Linked DNA regions of Lepisosteus oculatus. The protein of the gene in region 1 purifies or fractionates together with the protein of each later gene. This does not show direct contact. Links are inferred from orthologs where the notes say so. Each region holds a gene or a part of one and is shown on either strand. Other genes may lie near its edges. The genes, in order: tnrc6ba, ago4 and protein argonaute-3.

Region 1 (7,153 bases):
CTGTCACTCTGAGCGGATTCCAAACCCGAGCTCTCCCAAGTTTGTGCAACGCCACGGGCCGCTTGCACACACCCGAGCAGCGCCGCGATAAATCGCAAAGCATGCCTGAAAGAAATGCCGGTGCTGCGTCAGACAGCATGCGGGACTCCAGCAGAAAAACACACCGAGTGCCGTTAGAGCACGGCTCCGTCTCTGGGCGCGCAGGTGTCTGCTGGGGCCGATGAGCACAAGCTGAGTTTTCAGAGGTGGTCCTGGGGGGGGCGGTGTCTTGTCTGTCTGTCAGTCCGTGCAGGGGGTGAGCCGGCTGTCTCCTCGCCCCGCAGGGCTGGCGGCGATGGGGCCGAGGAAGCGGAGGACGGAGCCGGAGACGGCGGCGGTGGAGACGAGCGCGCAGGCTGGAGGGGAGGGCCGGCGCTCGCAGCCCCCGGGGCAGGAGGGGGCGAAGAAGAGGGTGGCGCGAGCGCAGGGAGGAAGGGAGAAGAAGTTTATCGGGGCGCACGTGTCCATAGCAGGTATCCCGGCACGCACCGTGGACAATACACCCACCTGTAACACGCAGGACGGAGCAGTTGATGACCTTGCTAACACACCCACGGATGTGAATTCACCCTGTGGGTCGTGTGCTTGTTTCGTAGGGGCGGGCATCTGTGACTGTGTCGCCCTGCGGCTAATGCGAAATCAACGTGTTTTTTCCACATTCTGTCGCGTGGACACTGTTCCCTGTCCCTGTATCTCCAGGAAAGCAGCAGAGAAGCGGCGATCTGCCTGCAGCTGTTGCCTTGTCTGCACATCTGTCAGCATGTCCGCACGCCGTCTTTAAAACCGCCTTTTAGTTATTTTTATTAGTGTTTTGTTTATCGAAGAGCATAAGAAAGGCTTCAAACGAAAGGAGGGCAAGTGCTCTCTCGAGCTGTTCTGGGAAAGTCTCTAGGACGTGTGAGTACACCTGTCTCGGGTGTCTTTGCTGTTGTCCTGCTCTGGTTTTGCAAAGCCCTCTGGGACATTGTCATGTAAGCTGCCCCAGCAGTTACAGATCATTACTAAAGCTCCCAAAATGAACACAGCTGCACAGCTGGGGCAAACTCCACCTGCCCCCACAGGCTCTGCCCTTATGGGCAGATCTGAGCAGAGGGTGGTCTCGGTCAACAGTGATGAGCTGACCAACCAGTCTGCTGGCAGTCTGAGACTGAGGCCGTCCAGTGAGTCCAGCAGACTGGACCCCAGTTCTCTGTGTCCTGGTCCTGGAGGAACACTGCTGGTGCTCATTCCAGCATGAACTGGGGTACGAACTGATCTGCTGGCTTGTTAGGACTTGAATTCAGCTTGTTTCTTTGGTCAGTCCTGAATGCCCAAATGCCCACATTCAAGCTCACTGTTTGCAGCTGACTGTGCACGGAGTGTCACTCAGTTGTTCCTGAATTTGCTGGCTCTTATTTCCGGTTAAAGAGCTCCTGCTAGTTAATCAGATATGGCTGGGAATGAGACTATATTAGGGCACACCCTCAACGGGAGGGGCATTGCATTAGACACGCCCATAGTAGGAGTGGCACTGTCAGCCATGCCCACAGGTGTGGGGAGACTCGCATGTCCCTACATCCATAGCAACATTATATCAGACACGCCCAGGGGTGGGAGAGACAGGACACTTCTCAGACGCGCCCACGGGTGGGAGAGACAGGACACTTCTCAGACACGCCCAGGGGTGGGAGAGACAGGACACTTCTCAGACACGCCCACGGGTGGGAGAGACAAGACACCTCTCAGACACGCCCACGGGTGGGAGAGACAAGACACTTCTCAGACGCGCACAGGGGTGGGAGAGACGACACGTCTCAGACACGCCCATGGGTGGGAGAGATAGGACATGTCTCAGACACACCCACGGGTGGGAGAGACAGGACACTTCTCAGACACACCCACGGGTGGGAGAGACAGGACACGTCTCAGACACACCCACGGGTGGGAGAGATAGGACATGTCTCGGACATGTCTCAGACACGCCCACAGGTGGGAGAGACAAGACACCTCTCAGACACGCCCACGGGTGGGAGAGACAGGACACGTCTCAGACACACCCACGGGTGGGAGAGACAGGACACTTCTCAGGCGCGCCCGGGATATTTCCAGGATCTTGGACGGATTCCTCAGGCCTCTGTGGACAGGGGTGACACCTGGCGGGCTCTTGGGGGTGAGCAGGTCTCAGCCCACAAGCGTTGCCTCTCGCCCTCTCGCCCTGTGCAGGGGGCATCTGGAAGGCGGTGGAGGAGTGTGTGTCCTTGGGGGGGCGCTCTTTCGCCATGTTCCTGGGCTCCCAGCGCTCGTGGCAGCGCCCCCCCCTGGACGAGAAGGCGGCGGCCAGGTTCCGGGAGGCCTGCCGCGAACACGGGGTCGAGCCCGCCTTCATTCTGCCTCACGGCTCCTACCTGATGAACTGTGGCTCGCCCAAGCAAGGTGCGTGAGCAGTGCCCCCATTCCAACTCTACTGGTGTGTCTCTCTGTCCAGATCTGTGACCTGTCTCTCTCTCTGTCCAGCTGTGTGTGAGATCTGTGACCTGTCTCTCTCTGTCCAGATGTGTGTGAGATCTGTGACCTGTCTCTCTGTCCAGCTGTATGTGAAGAGCTGTGACCTGTCTCTCAATTCAATTCAATTCAATTCAAGGTGCTTTATTAGCATGACCGATAGGTACAATCAGTGTTGCCAAAGCAAATAAAAATAATAAAATTAACATAGAACAAAACAAAAAATAGAAGTAAAATAAAATCTACAGACATGTTACAGACATTTACAACAAAGACATATTATATAATATTGACATATACTGTAGGCGGCTGGAGCATTATTGGGAGACGGACTCACTGTTCCTCAGGCTGTGACAGGAGATCACATACTGGGCTGCCAGATCAAAAAGATCTCTCTCTCTCTGTCCAGATGTGTGTGAAGAGCTGTGACCTGTCTCTCTCTCTGTCCAGCTGTGTGTGAAGAGCTGTGACCTGTCTCTCTCTCTCTCTGTCCAGATGTGTGTGATAAGAGCAGGGTCCTGCTGGTGGACGAGCTGTCGCGCTGTGCTCAGCTGGGCCTCTCCATGTTTAACCTGCACCCCGGGGCGTCCCTGGGTGACATCACCACTGACCAGTGCATCCAGCGCATCGCCGAGGCGATAGACCACGCCCACCGCCAGGTGCCTGCTGTCATGACGGGTGAGCTGGGCCTGCAGACCCTTCACACACACTGACCGGTGCACACAGACACACCCTCACACACACTGACCGGTGCACACAGACACACCCTCACACACACTGACCGGTGCACACAGACACACCCTCACACACACACTGACCGGTGCACACAGACACACCCTCACACACACTGACCGGTGCACACAGACACACCCTCACACACACTGACCGGTGCACACAGACACACCCTCACACACACACTGACCGGTGCACAGACACACCCTCACACACACACTGACCGGTGCACACAGACACACCCTCACACACACTGACCGGTGCACACAGACACACCCTCACACACACACTGACCGGTGCACAGACACACCCTCACACACACACTGACTGGTGCGCAGACACACCCTCACACACACACTGACTGGTGCGCAGACACACCCTCACACACACACTGACCGGTGCACACAGACACACCCTCACACACACTGACCGGTGCACACAGACACACCCTCACACACACACTGACCGGTGCACAGACACACCCTCACACACACACTGACCGGTGCACACAGACACACCCTCACACACACTGACCGGTGCACACAGACACACCCTCACACACACACTGACCGGTGCACAGACACACCCTCACACACACACTGACTGGTGCGCAGACACACCCTCACACACACACTGACTGGTGCGCAGACACACCCTCACACACACACTGACCGGTGCACACAGACACACCCTCACACACACTGACCGGTGCACAGACTCTCCCTCACACACACTGACCGGTGCACAGACTCTCCCTCACACACACACTGACCGGTGCACAGACACACCCTCACACACACACTGACTGGTGCGCAGACACACCCTCACACACACACTGACCGGTGCACACAGACACACCCTCACACACACACTGACCGGTGCACACAGACACACCCTCACACACACACTGACTGGTGCACACAGACACACCCTCGCACACACACTGACTGGTGCACACAGACACACCCTCGCACACACACTGACCGGTGCACACAGACACACCCTCACACACACTGACCGGTGCACAGACTCTCCCTCACACACACTGACCGGTGCACAGACTCTCCCTCACACACACACTGACCGGTGCACAGACACACCCTCACACACACACTGACTGGTGCGCAGACACACCCTCACACACACACTGACCGGTGCACACAGACACACCCTCACACACACACTGACCGGTGCACACAGACACACCCTCACACACACACTGACTGGTGCACACAGACACACCCTCGCACACACACTGACTGGTGCACACAGACACACCCTCGCACACACACTGACTGGTCCACAGACTGACCCTCACACACACACTGACTGGTGCACAGAAACACCCTCACACACACACTGACTGGTGCGCAGACACACCCTCACACACACACTGACTGCTGCACACAGATACCCTCACACACACACTGACTGGTCCGCAGACACACCCTCACACACACACACACACACACACACACTGACCAGTACACACAGACTCTCCCTCACACACACACTGACCGGTGCACACAGAGACAGCCTCACACACACACTGACAATGCCAGGGCCAGCGAGGCCTGATCTCTCCCGGCTCTGTGCCTCCGCAGTGCTGGAGAACATGAGTGGGCAGGGCAGCACGGTGGGCGGCCAGTTCTCCGAGCTGCGCGGGATCATCGAGCGGGTTCGGGACAAGAGCAGAGTGGGGGTGTGTCTGGACACCTGCCACGCCTTCGCCGCGGGTGAGGGGGCCTGACGGGGCCGATCCCTTCCCTTGCTCTGTGCCTCGCCACCCTCTCCCTCCCCTTCATTTCCCACAATTCCTCTAGCCGGGACCCACGCTGTCTGCACTTCCTCTCTCTGTGCCTTTGAGTCTCAGAGCGTCTGAACTCATCTTCTCTCCATCCCACACCCCTCTCCCTCCCTCCCTCCCTCTCTCTCTGCCCCTCTCTCTCTCTCTGTCTCCAGGCTATGACATTTCTGCGGCCGGAGGGATAAAGAAGGTTCTGGATGAGTTTGACTCTGTGGTGGGGCTGTCGTATCTCAGAGCTCTTCACCTCAACGACTCCAAAGGTGAGTCTCGTGTCCCCGTCTGTCCCTGTCTCTGCGTGCGCACGGCTCTCTCGTCCCCGAGACCGGCTCTGGCCCTCCAGGGCCACAGCCCAGTGGGACTCCGGGGGCTCCAGACTATCCCAGCCTGGGAACGCGTAATGTTCTGGGGTGTGACTGTGGAAAGAGTTCATGTTAACGCCAGACCTGAATTGAGCCCTTCTCTGCACCTTAAACCAAGGGCCCAGAAATCTGCTTGTCCGTGGCCCTCAGGGTCCCGAACTGGGGTGATCTCACGCTCCACCCCCCCTGCCCCTTGACCTCCAAGGTGAGCGTGAGGTTTGACTGGGGAGCTGGGAGGTCACTCCTTTGGCTCCCTGCATTTCAACTGCTTGCCACTAGGGGGCACTGAAGCTCTATCCTGCAAAAGTTCACTGTAGTTATTGGAGGTCAGCAAGGTAATGCAATGGTTAGCGTTGCTTCCTCACAGTGCTGGGGCCCTGGGTTCAATTCCTGGGGTGCTGTCTGGGTGGAGTTTGTATGTTCTCTTTGTGTTTGCTCCTCTTTCTTCCCACAGTCCACAAAAGCCAGGCTGGTAGGTTAACTGGCCCTGGTCTGTGTCTGTGTGTGCCCTGATGGACTGGCGTCCTGTCCAGGATGTACCCCGTTCTGCGCCTGGTGCTTGCTGGGATAGGCTCCAGCTCCTCTGTGAAAGTGGCCTCTAGTGGTAGGGAGTGGAAATGCAGGGCAACTGGAGCTCAAACAAGTCACCGCATCGCGCCCCAAATCTGTGTCCCCCCCCCTCCCTCTGCTGGCGTTCCAGGAAAGCTGGGGTGTCATCTGGACCGCCACGAGGACATTGGGCGCGGCCAGATCGGCCTGGCAGCGTTCCGAGAGCTGGTCAACGAGCCGCGCCTGGACGGCATCCCCATGATCCTCGAGACGCCGGGCCGGTGAGTGTGGCGCGGGCGGCAGGGAGACGTTTTTTCCCCGGCGTTCCCAGTCCGGTCCTGGTGACCCCCACTGCTGCTGGATCCCACACCCTCCCGCCTTCCTGGGGCGACTGGCGCCTTGACTGATCTAACAAGTTCCTTGCCATTCATACCTCTAACTCTGTCTCCCATCTGATCAGTGTCCTGGTGCTCATGGACAGCCCCCAGTTTCCTGGGACAAGAGCTGGCCTGTGTGTTAATCACCATCCTATTCTTACCACAGCTAACATGTCTGTTACCACCGGTAACGCAGAGTTCAGTTCTAAACGTGTACCTGTGAGATGGAGACGCCGCAGTCAGGGGTGACCAGCAGACCACTGGGACCCGCAGGCCAGCAGGTTTTACGATGCCCGTTTTGATCAATTTAGCGATGTTTTTTTATTTGACGTCAGGAAGGGTCAGGTGTGGCTCATGAGGGCTGCAGGGGACTGTGACATGATCTCTAAACTGGACCCTACTCTGGAAGGTTGTGGGTTCGAATCCCAGGTGAGATACTGCTCCAGTAAGTTTCTCTTTGCTGCCCTCCACAGCACAGGGTTCGAGTACGCGGAGCAGATTGAGCTGCTGTACTCCCTCTGCGAGGACTAGGGGTCAGAGGTCAGAGGTCACACCGCGATGTTCTCAGCGTTCCTTCCCCCCGGACTGGGCAAGGTCACTGCCTGTCCTGGGTTTTGTATTTTTCTACGTTTTTGTTTTTGACTGTGTCTTTTTTTCCCCGGAAATGTTGTCAAATTAAAAATATTACCAATAAAGTTCCAGATGAACGTGAAAGCTCTCGCTTCTGGTCTTGGGCATGTGTGCAGATGTGTGGGGAAGGGGGGAGTCTTTCAGGAGAGAGGCGCCTGCGATGGAGGTGGAGAACGTCC
Region 2 (7,745 bases), on another chromosome or scaffold:
CCATTCCACCCATCTAGAAGAGAGGAAACAGGTCAGCGTCTTCGTTCGAAAAGGGGTCCAATGGGCAGTTTGCCCAAAGTAGAAAAAAATCAGTTCTTTACCCTTAACTAAGGCAGACGAACACCGGAAGAAGCCACATTGCTAACCTGCGGTCCTGGTCTTACTGTAACAATCTACAGGTCAAAGGCCACCTGGCCTGATACTCTGGGCCCCAGCTGCCCTGAATGATCCAGGGTCTGGTTTCCCTGAACGGACGGGCAGAGAGGCAGCTCCTCTGCCTCCTGGCTCTTCCACACTTTCACCTCTCTTACAGCAGCATCTCCCTGCTCTCGGGTGGTAGTTGAGCAGCGCTTTGTCATTTACAATGCTGGTGTATAATCTACAGAAGGTTACAGTACAGAAAACTCTAGACGTGATAACATTCAAATGATAATTCTGTGGAAGCAGGACTCAAACTGGGCCAAACGTATTCCCATCCCCTATTATCCAACTCAATACTTGGCCAGTTTGATGTGCAAATCAAGAGGTGGAAGAATCAATCAAGAACAGAACAGCCAGCAAAGCAGCACAGAAGCAAGACACTTCAGACTGTGTTCATGAAGGGTTAGAACACTTCATCCTTAACTTTCAAAAGCATTCTATTCATAAATACAGCACCAACCTAATGTTATCACAGCTCATGAGTGAAAAACATCATTTATGGATTTTTAACAACATATCCATCAAAGCACGTGAATGTACCTGTGTGAAGGTACTGGTGGGAACAGGTGTTTTGCACTGAGGAGTCAATGTCTTGGCAGTGATCAGTCAATAATCAGACTGGAAAGAGGGGTTTAAGAACACCTGCAAGGCAGATGGGATTAATGACGAATTTGCGACAGGACAGAGGCCCTGCCTGCCACAAGGAAAAGACAACACCGAGAGTGAAAGAGCTGCAGGATGTCTGAGGATATCAAGAGCTCAGCAGCAACACCGCACAGGTCATAGAATAAGGCTACACAGAGCAGCCTAGCCCTGTCCTATGAACCTGTAAATCAAGGCATGTCCAGGCGGGTCAGAGAGCTCCCTGCGGATCCGTGGGGATCTACAGCCCTGGCTGGACTCGCTCTGTCCACCGGTGCGCTCCCTGTGGATCCTGGGATTCTGTCCTGGGTCTCCGCTCTCCTCTCTACACTCATTCCCCAGGTCCTCACCTCCTGTCATGGTCTTTCACACTCAACGCGAAGGACGCAGAGTTTCTCATGTTCACTATTTATATGCCTTTCACCTCCTCCTGGACTCGATGCTCTTCTTCCAGCAGACCCCATGCATCTCTTCTCTACCAGATCCCAGGCGCCAGCCTCCCTTTCCCCTCAGCCCCTCATCACCTTTGCATGAGGTGCCCTCCCTTCAGCAAGAGTTAAGCCAAAATCTACATGGGTCCCGAGGCTGTCTGTAAGGGTGTTAATCCCAAACTGGGCTCAGACAACCTAACCTCCCCACTGGTTCCCAGTTTCTCTCTGCCCCTGCTCTGCTGCGTAAGGGGGCTGCTGCTGTTCTGTGTCTACAGGGCGATGCAGCACCCCAGCTCTCCAAGACCCATTGTGATGATGCATGCTATACAGACATGGGGACTGAACTACAAGGGCTTAATTCTCAAAATAGTAATGCAACGTACCAACTGCATTTAATCACTGCAGACAAGCTGTAAGCACCCAGTAGGTGCATAAGTTACCACCCTGCATCCCCAGAGCCTGTGCAGTTTCACCCCTACGGCTGCCTTCGCCCGTCAGGAGAGGAGCAGACTGGACACGCAGCTGCACGACTGTTCCTCGTATTAACAAGTAAACTTTCCAGTTTGCCATTCACACTGAATGAAGGGGTCTGCTATATACAGGAATAATAATAATACTTCCATTGCCTGGCCCAGGAAAGAATCTTTACTCCAGAAGACAAGGGGTTACTAGTCCACAGATAGTGCCCTTCTTATGAATTACAAGCAAATCCTGAAAAAACACCGACTGTACACATTTGCAGGACACCAGAATCCCAGCCACTGCCCTTTTATGTACCACAATTCCCATGTGGGAAGCATTTTTTACCCCGGATAACTTATTTTAAAAGGTACAATAGCTTTGAGTTAAACAACAATTTAAAACACTTAAGCTATTAAATCACTTTCGTACTTATTGATACATATATTAGGTAAACTACTTTTAAAATTCTTCCTAACATTATCGGGGATTTCTACATACATCAATAAGAGGATTATTCCACGCAGAGGCACATAAACCGCACTTTCCCGTAGTTTAAACCCCACTCGGGCTTCGGTGAGGCTGCACATCCCGATACAGACACCGCAAAGACGCCGTAAACGTGCTGGTCAGCGAGCAGAGAGACCGGACTGTGCCACCGCTCCGGCCGGCAGCGAGCGACAGACACCCGACAGCTGGATCACGCAGAGCTCCGGGACAGCTGCAAGCACAGGGACCGAGGCTCCGGGCTCCACCGTGGTGGACGAAACCAGACGGACAGAGAAGCTGAAATCCGCTCTCGCAAACCGACACGAAGCTCCGCCGCCTTCGCTCTCGGACCCGCCGCAGCCCGCAGGCTGAGCACGACAACAACAACAGACGCGGAAGACGCGGAAAGGCGCTCCTGACGTTTCGCTCCAAGCGCGACCCGGGGCTGCGGCACACGGCCACACCGGACACCAGCCCTCCGTGAGGGACAGAGCCCTGCAGGCAACACCCCGTGCCGTGTGGTTAACCTCCCGACCTCGCTCTTCCTTCCGTCTTCCCGATCGCCCGCGGAGGCCTCGCAATCCCCGGCCCCCAGTGAGCGAGCGACCCGGGCCCCCCGCTCCTGCCCTGCCGGGCCTGCCAGCGCCTCTTCTCACCGGGTCCGAGCGCTTCCATGGCCGAGGGCTCTCTCTCCGTCTCTGTCCCGGCCTGGCGGCTCCGTACCGACACTGAGATTGGGGGCGGTATCGCGAAGCTGAGAGGGTCCACTCTGAGAAACTGAGGTCCGCTGTCGCCGCTCGGTTTAAAGCGGATCCGGGGAGTGCGGCAGTGCGCCTGCGCGCCGAGCGCTGCCCCTGCTGTGCGCCTGCGCCGTCCGGGGATTTAAACTGAGCGCACGGAGACGGGCAGCACAGGCGGCTGTGGACTCCCGGGGGTTTGGTTATCGACATCTATTTGGGCAGCATAGTACATGGAGAATTCGTCTCCCGTTGGATGAGGCTTTGGTTAGCCTGTCAGCGGTTTACCCGCGGTTTTTATAAATAATTCTACCAGGGAGGAAGCAGGAAGTTATCATACCGGCCGCTAGAGGGGGCAGCGCAGTTAATTGAAAGGTCTGACATCTCCGTAAACTGGCAGCATTTCAGCTCCGTTTTTACCAACGCCGTTGAAAAGCCTTGTCCCGCGCTCACAGTATCTCTTGTGCGGAGCTCTGTCAGAGCCTGGGCTGCTCAGCGTGCTGGGGTCCGGGGAGTCACAGAGGAGAAAACGCGTTTATATCGACATGCATCTGGGGAGCACAGGGAGAAAACGGAGTGTATCATGCTACAGCTTATACTTTTCATTCAGGTTCCAAAATGTGTGGGTGTCTGTGAAATCGTCACATTCGTCAGTGATCTGTATTGTTTTACTCCTGTTAACGTGGCTGTTTGCTCTGCTCTGCAACAGCCGTCCTGTAGCTGCAGCCCTGTCCCACAGCAGCTCAGGTAAAACCAGCAGGTTTATAAAGTATAATTTGCACTTCTTATTTATTTAATCCTCATTGTAATGTACAAATTAAGGGCGTCTGCCAGAAAAGATTTTTAAATTAAATTGAAAAAATATGACATGCTTTTTATTCTTATAAATTACTTTAAAACCACCGTATTGTCACGCAGTCGGTGGTCATTTAGTACAAATAGTTAAAAGTTTCAGCGCTGTTTACATTTTAATGAGGTTCAGTTTCAGGGCAACGTTGAAATCCTGTTTTGTCTCAGAGTATCCGGAATCAAAGGGGCTGAGTATTGTTTTAACAAAACTGCAATAAATATTGTGAGCTACCGTTAAGCTTACCCAATACAAAGTGAGGGGGGGGATAAAATTCACATCTATATTTTTATTTAAAATAAGGTGATTGCTTATTTTTGCTTTATTTTAGAAAGAGAATATTTTTATTTAATTCACAGTTCTTTAGCATTACTGTATTTGTGATTCCAAGAAAAACTACACAAAACCAAGCTTTCCAATCAGACCCCCGAGTGCACTGCGACTCGCTATTGGTCCCTGCTGCTGTCCGTCACTTGCGTGAGGCGTGGCTGGGAGCGTCGGCAGCCCCCGAGGTGGAATAAGTCTGCCGAGGTGGGCGGGTGCGAGGCGGGATTGACGGCCGACAGCCCAGTCAGGAGGGAGAGGAGGGGGCGAGGGGCGGGATGGCGCCCTGGGCGCGCGAGCGGTTGAAAGTCCTTTCTGAGAGAGCGCGCGGGAGGGAGAAGCAGGCGGGCAGCTACGAGTTGTTACTGTTGCGGATTAGATCTCATCTGTTTATCTGGTTTATTTTAACTGTTTAAATAGTTTGTCAAGGAGGGCGAGAAAGTGGACGTGGCCTTGCGTGCGTTTTCATGAGTCTGTGTTGTCGAGTGTAAGCGGAAAAGAGCCCGTCGCCATGAGTGCGGCCGTGTCCCAGCAGGTTTGTGCTGTTTTAGTCACGGTGGCGAAGTGTTCGTAAAGACCCGCGGTTCGTGCTCTGGGGGGGCTGTGTGCTGCTGTGCGGCTGTCCGGCCTCCGAGAGGGCTGGGTCCGGGCGGGCTGGACGGGCCGCAGCAGCACCGCCAGCGGAACCGAGCCGTCTGACCCGGGGTGTGTTCTCCGGGCCTCGGGAGGAAAGTCTGCGGTTTGTTTTGGTTGCTGAGCTTTTCGTGGCAGCGGCTCTCTGCCGCCTCGGCTGGCTCCCGGCCCGGCCGCTGGGGGGCGCGCTGCTCCGCTCTCGCGGTCCGGTGGTTCAACGTGCGAGCGGGGTTCATAGCGGGGGCTCCTGCTTCGCCACTCGGCCTGTGTCTCGGCTGGTGCGCTGCCGTTTCAGTCCGGGGTCTGCCAGGGCGGTCAGACTGTACAGGGCCCGACGCGAGTTTCTTCCGAGCAGTCGGGACCTCGGGTCTGATCATGGGCCCAGTCGCTGGGTGTTGTTAGCCCACCGAGCTGTTGCTGCAGATATGAGCTGCTCCTTCTCTGGAGTGTCGCACTGCCGGCTGGAGGCACTGTCCTCCACTCGCAGAGCTCAGAGCAGACCCCCAGGGCGGTTTCCATGGGATCACAGGGGCAGTAAGCCCATCGGCCAGATGGGAGGAATGGCTGTGCTCGATTATAACCTTTCTTGTGTAGCCGAACTCGGCTGTGTCACCGCCAGCCGGTCAGTGTTCAGGTTTCTCCAGCTGTGCGGTGTTGTAACTGTAAGCCATCCTGTTGATGTATTGCAGTGAAGTCAATCTGCAGTAAATCATGTCTAACTATAGCGATGCTCGATACAGATGCTACCCCACGTCCTCGGGACCCGTCTGTGGTGACGCTGCGCTGTGCCGTCGTGCCCGTAGGTAACGGCCACCCGTTTTCTCTCCAGGCGCCGGACGTGCTTCCCGTGGAGGAGAGCGACTCCGACAGCGGAAAGGGCAGCTGCGACCTGAGCCCCCCTGTGCCCACGGGGGGCGCCCCAGCGATGGCTGAGAGCAGCGAGGACCAAGGTCAGCGGGGCCGGGGGTATAACGCCACAGAGCTCTGAGGGCTCTGCAGTGGGGTCACTCTGAACCTCCTGAGGCTCTGCCTGCTCCGCAGGGGGGATTTGTACAGTTACCCTGTGTCTCATAACTGAGCAGTTTGACGATGGTCCGGACCGTTCGGAAGCGAGTGTCTCGTGTGCGTCGCCTCGGAAGGTCCGTGTCAAAGACGTCTTGTGTTCCAGACTCGGACGGCGAGGTGGCTGTGAAGAGGAAGCCGCGCGGCAGGACGGCCCTGAGCGACAGCGACAGCGAGGCCGAGGAGGGAGGGGGGCCGGCCGAGGCTCTTGCCCTGTCGGAGTCCAGCGAGGAGGAGAGGCAGGAGGGAGGAGGCGGGAGGACAGGACAGCGGACGAGGAGGGTGGCGCAGGCCGCCTGGGACAGTGAGGACAGCGAGGCGGAGACGGACAGGCAGGCCGGCAAGGCACAGGGAGAGTCCCCTGCTGGGGAGACGGTGAAGCGGGAGGAGAGGTCCGAGCATTGCCGGGAGAAGGACAAGAGGAGGGCAGAGGCTGCGCCGAGAGCGAAGAGGAACAGGAGGAAAGAGGTACGTACAGGGCGCAGCTGGGAAGATGCAGCCCTGGGCCTGGAAGGGCGGCGAGCACAGGTGTGCCTGCGTCAGACAGGTAGTGCTCCAGCCAGCTTTGTCCTGCTTGCCCGGTTGGCTGTCAGTGCTGTGTCAGGGGAGAGCTGCTCAGCAGACTTCATAGTTAACAAAAATATTGAATGTCTTTGGCTGTTCTGCAGTCTTAATTTATCCTGGTCCACAGAAACATTTTAAATACACTGCATGTTCTTAAATTGTCTAGTCACTGATTGTTGGACAGGTTTTTATGTTAACTTTTTGTGCTTATTTTAAAATACTTCTGAATGAGTGTCATGTGATGTGTAAGCTTATATCGGTTCTGTGACTGCACAGTTTGAATGTGGATTTAACTGGATGGGGCATCAGTGAGGTTTGGGTGGGGTGTGTGGCTGATTCGCTAAACAAGGCCAACATTAGGACAGCAACCACTTCACTCTCTCCCTAATCTAGGAGCCCACTGCTCCCCCCTCCTTTAATGACAGTGGCTGCCTCCTCAGAGACAGTGACCTGTTTGACACAGGTGTGGGGGAGGAAGAGGAGGAGTCCCTGGATGCCATCAGAGCAGCGATGAAAAACAAGGTGAAGAAGCATAAGGTGAGCAGAGGTCATGACATGGCGACTGCAGGACTCTTGTCTGCACTGCTGTGTTGGGGGAAATGAGGAGTTAAACCTCTTTTCACTTCTGCACGTTTGACTTTAGTCACAGAGTCCTTTAGTGCTGGCAAAAGTGTCTAATGCTCTTCTGTAAAGCAGGGTCCAGCATTTTATTGTCCAAGCGGGTCTCGAGCACTTTGTCTCGGCAGATTGAGGTTTGTGTACAGACGTGTTTTTCCTGTCCCCAGGAGAGAGCCGGGAGGGAAAAGGAGGAGGCTGAGGGGGTGTGTCAACCAGAGCGGAAGGTGAGGTGACCTTTGAACTTTGCGTTCTTGTTGTAGAACGCTGCTTCTGTTGCTCGGTGTCTGATTCCTGTGCGTTTCTGTCCTCTCCTCTCTGTCAGGAGAGGAAAGCAGCCCGGGCCAGCAAAGAGGCCATGAAACAGCTGCACAGCGAAAGCCAGAGACTCGTACGAGGTAAGAGCCTGTCTCTCCCTGTTGCTGACTGTCTAGCAGTGCTTCTTCACCTGGGGTGCAGCCGTCCCTCCTGGGGGTGTGAGATGTGCCAGATATTTTAAATCAAGAAACCAAATTAAGCACAGACACAAAAGTATAATAACTTTGTTTAATCAGTCCTAGGTATTTTAATGTAAACAGGAAAAGGTCAATGCCAGGCTGAAAGGAAAAGAAGAGATGCAATGTTTTGGCTATGGAGCCTTCAGGTGTGGACATCTGTGACACCTGAAGAAGTGTCCACAGCCAAAACATTCTCTGTCCTTTTTCTTTCAGCCTGGAATAAATCTTTACCTGGTACTTTGCA
Region 3 (7,423 bases), on another chromosome or scaffold:
CAAATATTAAGATCACCAGCCAACCACAAATATAAAAACAAAAGTTCCAGTCAGATACAAAAACGTTTCACTGAACCAACCAGCACAGAGCTGTGAGGCAGTGTCAGGACAGCTCTGGCAATCCTCACCACTGCAGAGTAACCGGGGGCCAGAGGGCATATTCCCTCATGAGGGTCAGTGTGCTGGACAGCCGTGTCCAGGTGCCTGCAGGTCAGAGTGTGTGGACAAGGGCTGTGATCGAAGAGTAGGACAGGGACAGGTTCAGAGAAACAGCACCACGTCAGAGGACAGGACTGAGTCAAACCTGCACAGGCTAGAAGCAAGCTACTATCCTGCATGAGGTTACAATTACTGCTACCCTTAATGGCAACTCAAGCATTTCTTGTACAGCTTAAATCTTTCTATACTAATGACTAGAGACTACGCACCATTATTCTCACCCTGCTGCATCTGGGCTCATCACTGCCCTGAGACTACTGTTGGTACAACCACAGGCAGTGCTGGTTGGACAGAAAGTGACCTGTCAGAGTGATCCAACAGCAACTGGTTACTGAGCTCAGCCCCAGCAATGACTCACCCAGAAAGGCAAGTGACTCAGCACCTGATTCTCCAGCCCCACAACAGGCACCACACTGGGCCAGGAGATCACTGCCCAGCTCTCCAGCCCCACAACAGGCACCACACTGGGCCAGGAGATCACTGCCCAGCTCTCCAGCCCCACAACAGGCACCACACTGGGCCAGGAGATCACTGCCCAGCTCTCCAGCCCCTCAACAGGCACCACACTGGGCCAGGAGATCACTGCCCAGCTCTCCAGCCCCTCAACAGGCACCACACTGGGCCAGGAGATCACTGCCCAGCTCTCCAGCCCCACATCAGGCACCACACTGGGCCAGGAGATCACTGCCCAGCTCTCCAGCCCCACAACAGGCACCACACTGGGCCAGGAGATCACTGCCCAGCTCTCCAGCCCCTCAACAGGCACCACACTGGGCCAGGAGATCACTGCCCTGCTCTCCAGCCACTCAACAGGCACCACACTGGGCCAGGAGATCACTGCCCAGCTCTCCAGCCCCCCAAGATCTCCAGCAGGCCACCAGACGAATCGCTTCAGCCACAGCCTGAGTCCGTGTGACTGCAGAGAGTCAAGAGTCTCCTCTCCGACAGCAGCTTACCCCTGTGACAGCTCTCCACTGCTGGCCTCACGCCCACAGCAACCCAGGAGAGAGGTTCCCTGCACGTTCATGTAACAAACCGACAACCGAAACTGGAGCCAAGGCACAGCTGACAGAACCACCCAGACTCAGAGAGAGGTTCCAGGGACTGCGATCGCCGTCCCCAATGGGACAGCAAGCTGCTCAAGAGCATCTCAGGATGAGGCCCAGACCTATAGTCCAGCAGGAGTCACCCCAGCTACAGGCTCCCACACCACGGCAGGCAACAGCCACATCCACTCATGGCAGGAGCCACAGACTCTGGGCCACAGACAGGACACCCCAATCCCACTCTGCCCTGAGCCCTGAGCCCTGAGCCACAGACAGGACACCCCACTCCCACTCCTGACAGCCCAGCGCTGCCCTGAGCCACAGACAGGACACCCCACTCCCACTCTGGCCCTGAGCCCTGAGCCACAGACAAGACACCCCACTCCCACTCCCGACAGCCCAGCGCTGCCCTGAGCCACAGACAGGACACCCCACTCCCATTCCCACTCCCACTCCCACTCCTGACAGCCCAGCGCTGCCCTGAGCCACAGACAGGACACCCCACTCCCACTCACACTCCCGACAGCCCAGCGCTGCCCTGAGCCACAGACAGGACACCCCACTCCCATTCCCACTCCCACTCCTGACAGCCCAGCGCTGCCCTGAGCCACAGACAGAACACCCCACTCCCATTCCCACTCCTGACAGCCCAGCGCTGCCCTGAGCCACAGACAGGACACCCCACTCCCATTCCCACTCCTGACAGCCCAGCGCTGCCCTGAGCCACAGACAGTACACCCCACTCCCACTCCCACTCCTGACAGCCCAGCGCTGCCCTGAGCCACAGACAGGACACCCCACTCCCACTCCCACTCCCACTCCTGACAGCCCAGCGCTGCCCTGAGCCACAGACAGGACACTCCACTTCCACTCCTGACAGAACCAGCGCTGCCCTGAGCCAGAGACAGTACACCCCACTCCCGGCTCAGCCCGGTTCTGATCCAAACTCCCCCCCCCCCGACGGGAGCCCGAGAAACAGAGAACAGGACCGCACCGCCCCGCCGCTCAGGCACACCTTGAGGGGACACCTGTCCGTGACAGTGGGCGGGCAGGTCAGCACGGCTCCGCTGCAGCCACGCCACACTCCCACGGCGCCCTACCTACACTCGGTGGCACAGTTACCTGTAGTTCCGATTTCCATTCATGAGGTCTCTGTCCGGTTCCTCGCCGGCTCCTAAATGTCAGGTCCAGGGTCTGAGCTCCAACAGCTCGGTTCCGCTCGGTCCTGTCCGGCCCGGCCCGATCCGCGCTGGTGAGGCCGAGTCCTCCGCGGAGACTCTCCGCCCGGAACACGGGCCCGCTCCCCCGCGGCTCGGTCCGCTGATGGCGGCTTCTTCGCGGCCGGGGACCCCTGCGCCGGCCGCTGTGGACGGGCTCTGCGCCGCTGCTCGCCCGGGGCCCTGCCCTCGGGTCCCGCTGGGTCTCCGCGGCTCCGCCGGGCAGGAGGAGGTCTCCTCGGGGTATTTACCTCTCTCACGTCCCCGACGGGCGGCTCGATTGTCTCCCCGATATTCCGTCGGCGTCTGAGCCGAAAGGCGCAGTTTCTCCCGGCTCCGCGTCCGCACTACCCCCGCCGACAGAGCCCGGCTGCCCCGCCGGTGTTTCCCTGCCCCTGCGGCCGCAGTAGCCCTGCTCCTCACCCGGCAGACCGAGGCGTCGCTCCCCGACGTGCTGCTGGTCCGCTGCCCGGTCTCAGTGATCCTCGCTCGGGGAAATCCTGACAGGAAATACCGTCTCTCTCACTAACTGCAGGAAACACCGTCACTTCCGAGCAAACCATATTATTCATGAGCCGAGGTCTGCATTATTCATGAGAGGTATTAATAATGCACACCCGTGTTCCCCGGCTCCCCACACGGTGTTCCTGCCGGAGCCTGCAGGGGGAGCTCGCCTGCCGTCCGCTGAGCTCAGGGCCGCTGTTAACCCCTCCTGCCCCCGGACACCGGTCTGAAGGGTCGCTCCTGCCCCCGGACACCGGTCTGAAGGGTCGGTCCTGCCCCTGGACACTGGTCTGAGGGGTCGCTCCTGCCCCTGGATGCTGGTCTGAAGGGTCGCTCCTGCCCCCGGACACTGGTCTGAGGGGCCGCTCCTGCCCCTGGACACTGGTCTGATGGGCCGCTCCTGCCCCTGGAGTGTGTCTGAGGGGTCGCTCCTGCCCCTGGATGCTGGTCTGAGGGGTCGCTCCTGCCCCTGGACACTGGTCTGAAGGGTCGCTCCTGCCCCTGGACGCTGGTCTGAGGGGCCGCTCCTGCCCCTGGACACTGGTCTGAGGGGCTGCTCGTGCCCCTGGACGCTGGTCTGAGGGGCTGCTCCTGCCCCTGGACGCTGGTCTGAGAGGTCGCTCCTGCCCCTGGATGCTGGTCTGAGGGGCTGCTCCTGCCCCTGGACACTGGTCTGAGGGGCCGCTCCTGCCCCTGGAGTGTGTCTGCCCACCGGCCAGCTCTGGTGCTGTTTTTACTGCACTGTCTCTCCTGGCTGAGACCCCCTGTTTTCATGACTGTACTGTCCTGGATCGACTGCAAGGACACAGGGACTTGTTTTTTTTACCACAATCAATTCATTTATGTTGTCAGCGCCACAGGAAAAAGTCAAATAACCGATAGAGCTCCGCTAGAATCTGTTTCGCTGTGTCTTTATTAACGTCTCTAGGACCTTCTGTAGTTGTGCCAGTTGAGATCAACAGGCTTTGAATTCTAAATTGTGCATGTTTTAGTTCATCATCATCCCTAAATATGCTTTTAATAGCATAGGTATTTTGAATTGATTTCCTGCCTTTTGAAAATTTGTTCTGTTAATAATTTATTCCAATTAGAAGTATTACTTTATCCTTCTTACCAGAGTCGCAGGGGAGCCAGTCTATCCCAGCAAGCACTGGGCACAGGGCAGGACACACCCTGGATGGGACACCAGTCCACCCATGGCAGTAACACACACTTACCAGGGCCAGCCCATCACAGGACACTCACAGACACACACACACCAGGGCCAGCCCATCACAGGACACACACACACACACACACACACACACACACCAGGGACAGTTTTCCATGTCTCCCACAGGAATGTAGGAGGAAACCCTCATGTACCCAGTGAGAACATGCAAACTCCACACAGACAGCACCCTGGGTCTGCCCTGCGCAGTTTATTTGATTTACTCTTTCCTTTTCCAAGCAGGCCTGATGGATGTGTCCACACTGCCCCTTCAATAGGTGGTGCAATAACATAAGACCCTTTTTCTACACTCAACTATAGAGAGTGTCCAGAGGGGACAACCACGCTGGCATCAAGCTTCAGGTCAAAACAATGTTAAAACAATTTTATACTAGTCCATATAATTAAGCAGGTATATAAAAAGGTGTTTCAGAATGCACTTGGTCATTTGCTACTTGTCTAGTCAAGAGTCATGGTAATGGACACCCAGTGCTCAGACGCAAACCAGTGTGGAGGAGTCCGCCTGGCCCACAGGAGACACGCCTGCCACCACTGTGCTTCATAGTCCACTATTCTGAAGCAGTTCGGCCAGTTAATACAGCGATTACCAACAAGTTATTTTTATCAGCTTTGTTTAGGTTAGAACTGTGTAAAATAATGAAAACTATAGCCAAAACTACATTGTATTAATCTGGAAATGAAGCAGCCGTCACAATCAGAAGCCCCAGGAATTTTGGAGCTTTCACCCTCTCCCCTCTCTAGGGCAGCGTCTGCACCAGTGAGGGATGCCCCTAATGCCCCTCAACCACAGAGCTACCTGGCAGAAACCCCGTGTGGGTGGACAGTGACAGTGCCCATCTGCTACTGTGTGCGCCAGTTAATAATAAACATGAAAAACAATACCTTGCACTCGTATAGAGCTTTTCAGCACGAGGCCCTCCACAGCCTTGGCCTTGGGTTCAAACACAGATGAACTCACGGCCCAGAAAAGGCCTGATATCACTCCCTTTAAACTAAGTGATCACAGTCTTTCAGGATGCATAAAAAATAAAAGCTGAAGTGTCTAAAAATAATGCTAAAGAAAAATTATACAAACACAAGCATAATAAAAACACACATTTTATTCAAAAAATAACCAGAACATTTCACACTATTTAATACTGACCCATGAGAACTAGTTTCCATATTCCCTATCGGTTCTGTTCGGAAGTGCTATATCTGGACTACAGTCCGCAGTGGCATATTGCTGATTCAGCCTGGACTCTGCGCTCGCACACATCCTGGCACCGGTCTGCGACACGGCTCTCGTCTCTCCCCTTCGGCCACTCCCCCATCCCGCACTGACCCCGAGCAGCTGGGGCCCGAGCTGAGGGAGCAGCGAAAGAGATGTCCAAGCTGTGGGCGAAGGAGTGCACAGTGCATCTCTGCATCTCTGCATAGCTGGGTAAGAGGTCAGGGGCTCCCCCGGAGGAGACCAGGTGATACTGCAGGCAGGGCGTCTGTCGCTATTCACCGATGTTCAAACTGAGCAAATTATGCCGTCAGACTAAGAACCACATCTGTGCATTCTGAGAAGTTTTGACAATATTTTAAATCTAAACATAGGCAGGCAGGGTCCTATATTTCATTATTTACATAGTAATTGATGCTACTGAACAAAAAAAAGCACCTGGGGCTTCAGTGAGACACAGGGACCAGTAACAGGGATGGAATTTGTCAAAACCGCTTGGAAAACACGAGTCCTTGTCTGAGGGTCTATACTGGGCCCAGAACACTGTAATTATGAGTCAAGCTGCCCTGGGTCAACATCGTGCACTGCAGCACACCTCCAGCTGCTGGACAACAGACGATGCTCCCTCTCTCTCTAGGGGGCAGCTGCAGCCAAGAGCAACAGCCTGGCTCTCTCTGCCCCCTGCGGGGCGCAATAGAGCTGCCGCGGAGAGGAGAGACTGTCGCTGTGCCAGGGGTCTGGCAGGGCACGCAGAGAGCCCTCGACAGGCGAGACCAGCGTGCGAGGAAGAACAGAGGAGTGTGCGCCGTCAGCGTTGTTGTAACCCGTGTGCCCTGTGGACATGCATAGAAGTGTTGCTCAGCTGTCTTCAGAAGCCAAGCTGCTGCTCGAGAGGACGCTGCCGCGTGGCCTGCGTCTGTGTACAGTCCCACAGCCACCGTGCTCCCGGCTGGTGAATCGCTGCACAAAGCTGAGTGACGACAGAGAAGGAGACTGTGAACGTGGACAGATGAAATGATGGACTTGCTGAAGATGCAGGCCCTGCGAGGTCTTGAACCCACAGCTCAGTTCACATTGGGCTTTCCTCCACAGCTCCACAGAGCTAGCGAGCACACATAGCTCATCCAGGTCTCTGCTGACCTCTCCCTCCTGTGCAGACCGGTTTGTTTGCTCCGGAGCAGCAGGGACAGGCAAATCAGAGGGAGAGTCAGGAGTCCCAGCACCCCAGGTGGGCCCTGGCACCAGTGTGTCCATACGGGCAGCTGCTTCTCCTCGTCCCAGCACTGTGGTAAGGCACTCTCCAATCGACAGCACGCTGACCTACGGCCCTCCCTCCTCTCCCTGCGAACACACAGCCTAGCAGGCCTAAGACAAGCAAGTGCTATTGTACCTTACCTTGGGTAAAAATAAACATTTTAAAACAATAACAAAAGGATAAAAACATAAGGAAAGTTTTTTTCAGTAAAAAAAACTTCCTCAACACGTTGCAGATCTAACTCTACGGGCTGTCTGTGGGAGGCGAGTCCACAGACAGAGGCAGCATGTGTGGGCAGTCAAGGACCTCAGCTCCTTTCCTCAGTATTGCATACATACTCGGAAGTGTAAATATATATACTTCTATATATAATATATATAAAAAAAATAAAATCCCGGAGTCTTAGAAACAGTTTCCTGGTGAGTGCGGAGCCACGTCCAGCTGCTCGCAGCAGTCTGTGCTTCAGGAGGACGGCCCTGGGTTCGGGCCGCTCTGGCTCAGTGAGGTCCGTGAGGTGTGCTGGGAGGGCGCGGCTCAGGCGAAGTACATGGTCCGTAGGGTGTCCTGGTGAACCTGCACGGCTTTGGCCAGGGCCTGGGGGTCCCGACCGTTACTCTGGCCGGAGATGTGGCTTCCCTCCCCACTGCAAGAGAAAGGCAGACCCTGGATCACTGGAGGGCAGAGCACCGCCGAGACAACGGCCTCCAGCTCACTGGAGAGCAGAGCACCATGGCGAGAACG

Evidence for each region.
Region 2: the proteins of tnrc6ba (region 1) and ago4 purify together in Homo sapiens (co-immunoprecipitation; 3 studies listed by BioGRID and IntAct, with this or other methods). This does not show direct contact. The link is inferred for Lepisosteus oculatus from reciprocal best matches to the Homo sapiens genes TNRC6B and AGO4.
Region 3: the proteins of tnrc6ba (region 1) and protein argonaute-3 purify together in Homo sapiens (affinity purification with mass spectrometry; 6 studies listed by BioGRID and IntAct, with this or other methods). This does not show direct contact. The link is inferred for Lepisosteus oculatus from reciprocal best matches to the Homo sapiens genes TNRC6B and AGO3.

Annotation. Positions count from the first base shown.
Region 1 is NC_090707.1:38,380,299-38,387,451, reverse strand, and holds the start of tnrc6ba (trinucleotide repeat-containing gene 6B protein), read right to left. Parts: upstream 3,016-7,153; 5' UTR 2,858-3,015; intron 2,452-2,857; coding exon of another isoform or gene 2,242-2,451; intron 513-2,241; coding exon of another isoform or gene 335-512; exon of another isoform or gene 324-334; intron 1-323. Other genes in the region: probable endonuclease 4, read left to right, coding at 335-512, 2,242-2,451, 3,016-3,198, 4,857-4,988, 5,215-5,319, 6,119-6,248, 6,818-6,875.
Region 2 is NC_090706.1:162,866-170,610, forward strand, and holds the start of ago4 (protein argonaute-4), read right to left. Parts: upstream 3,042-7,745; 5' UTR 2,898-3,041; coding exon 2,879-2,897; intron 1-2,878. Other genes in the region: claspin, read left to right, coding at 4,642-4,665, 5,593-5,713, 5,932-6,293, 6,783-6,926, 7,175-7,231, 7,330-7,402.
Region 3 is NC_090706.1:126,508-133,930, forward strand, and holds the start of protein argonaute-3, read right to left. Parts: upstream 3,008-7,423; 5' UTR 2,407-3,007; coding exon 2,388-2,406; intron 1-2,387. Other genes in the region: ago1 (protein argonaute-1), read right to left, coding at 7,217-7,325.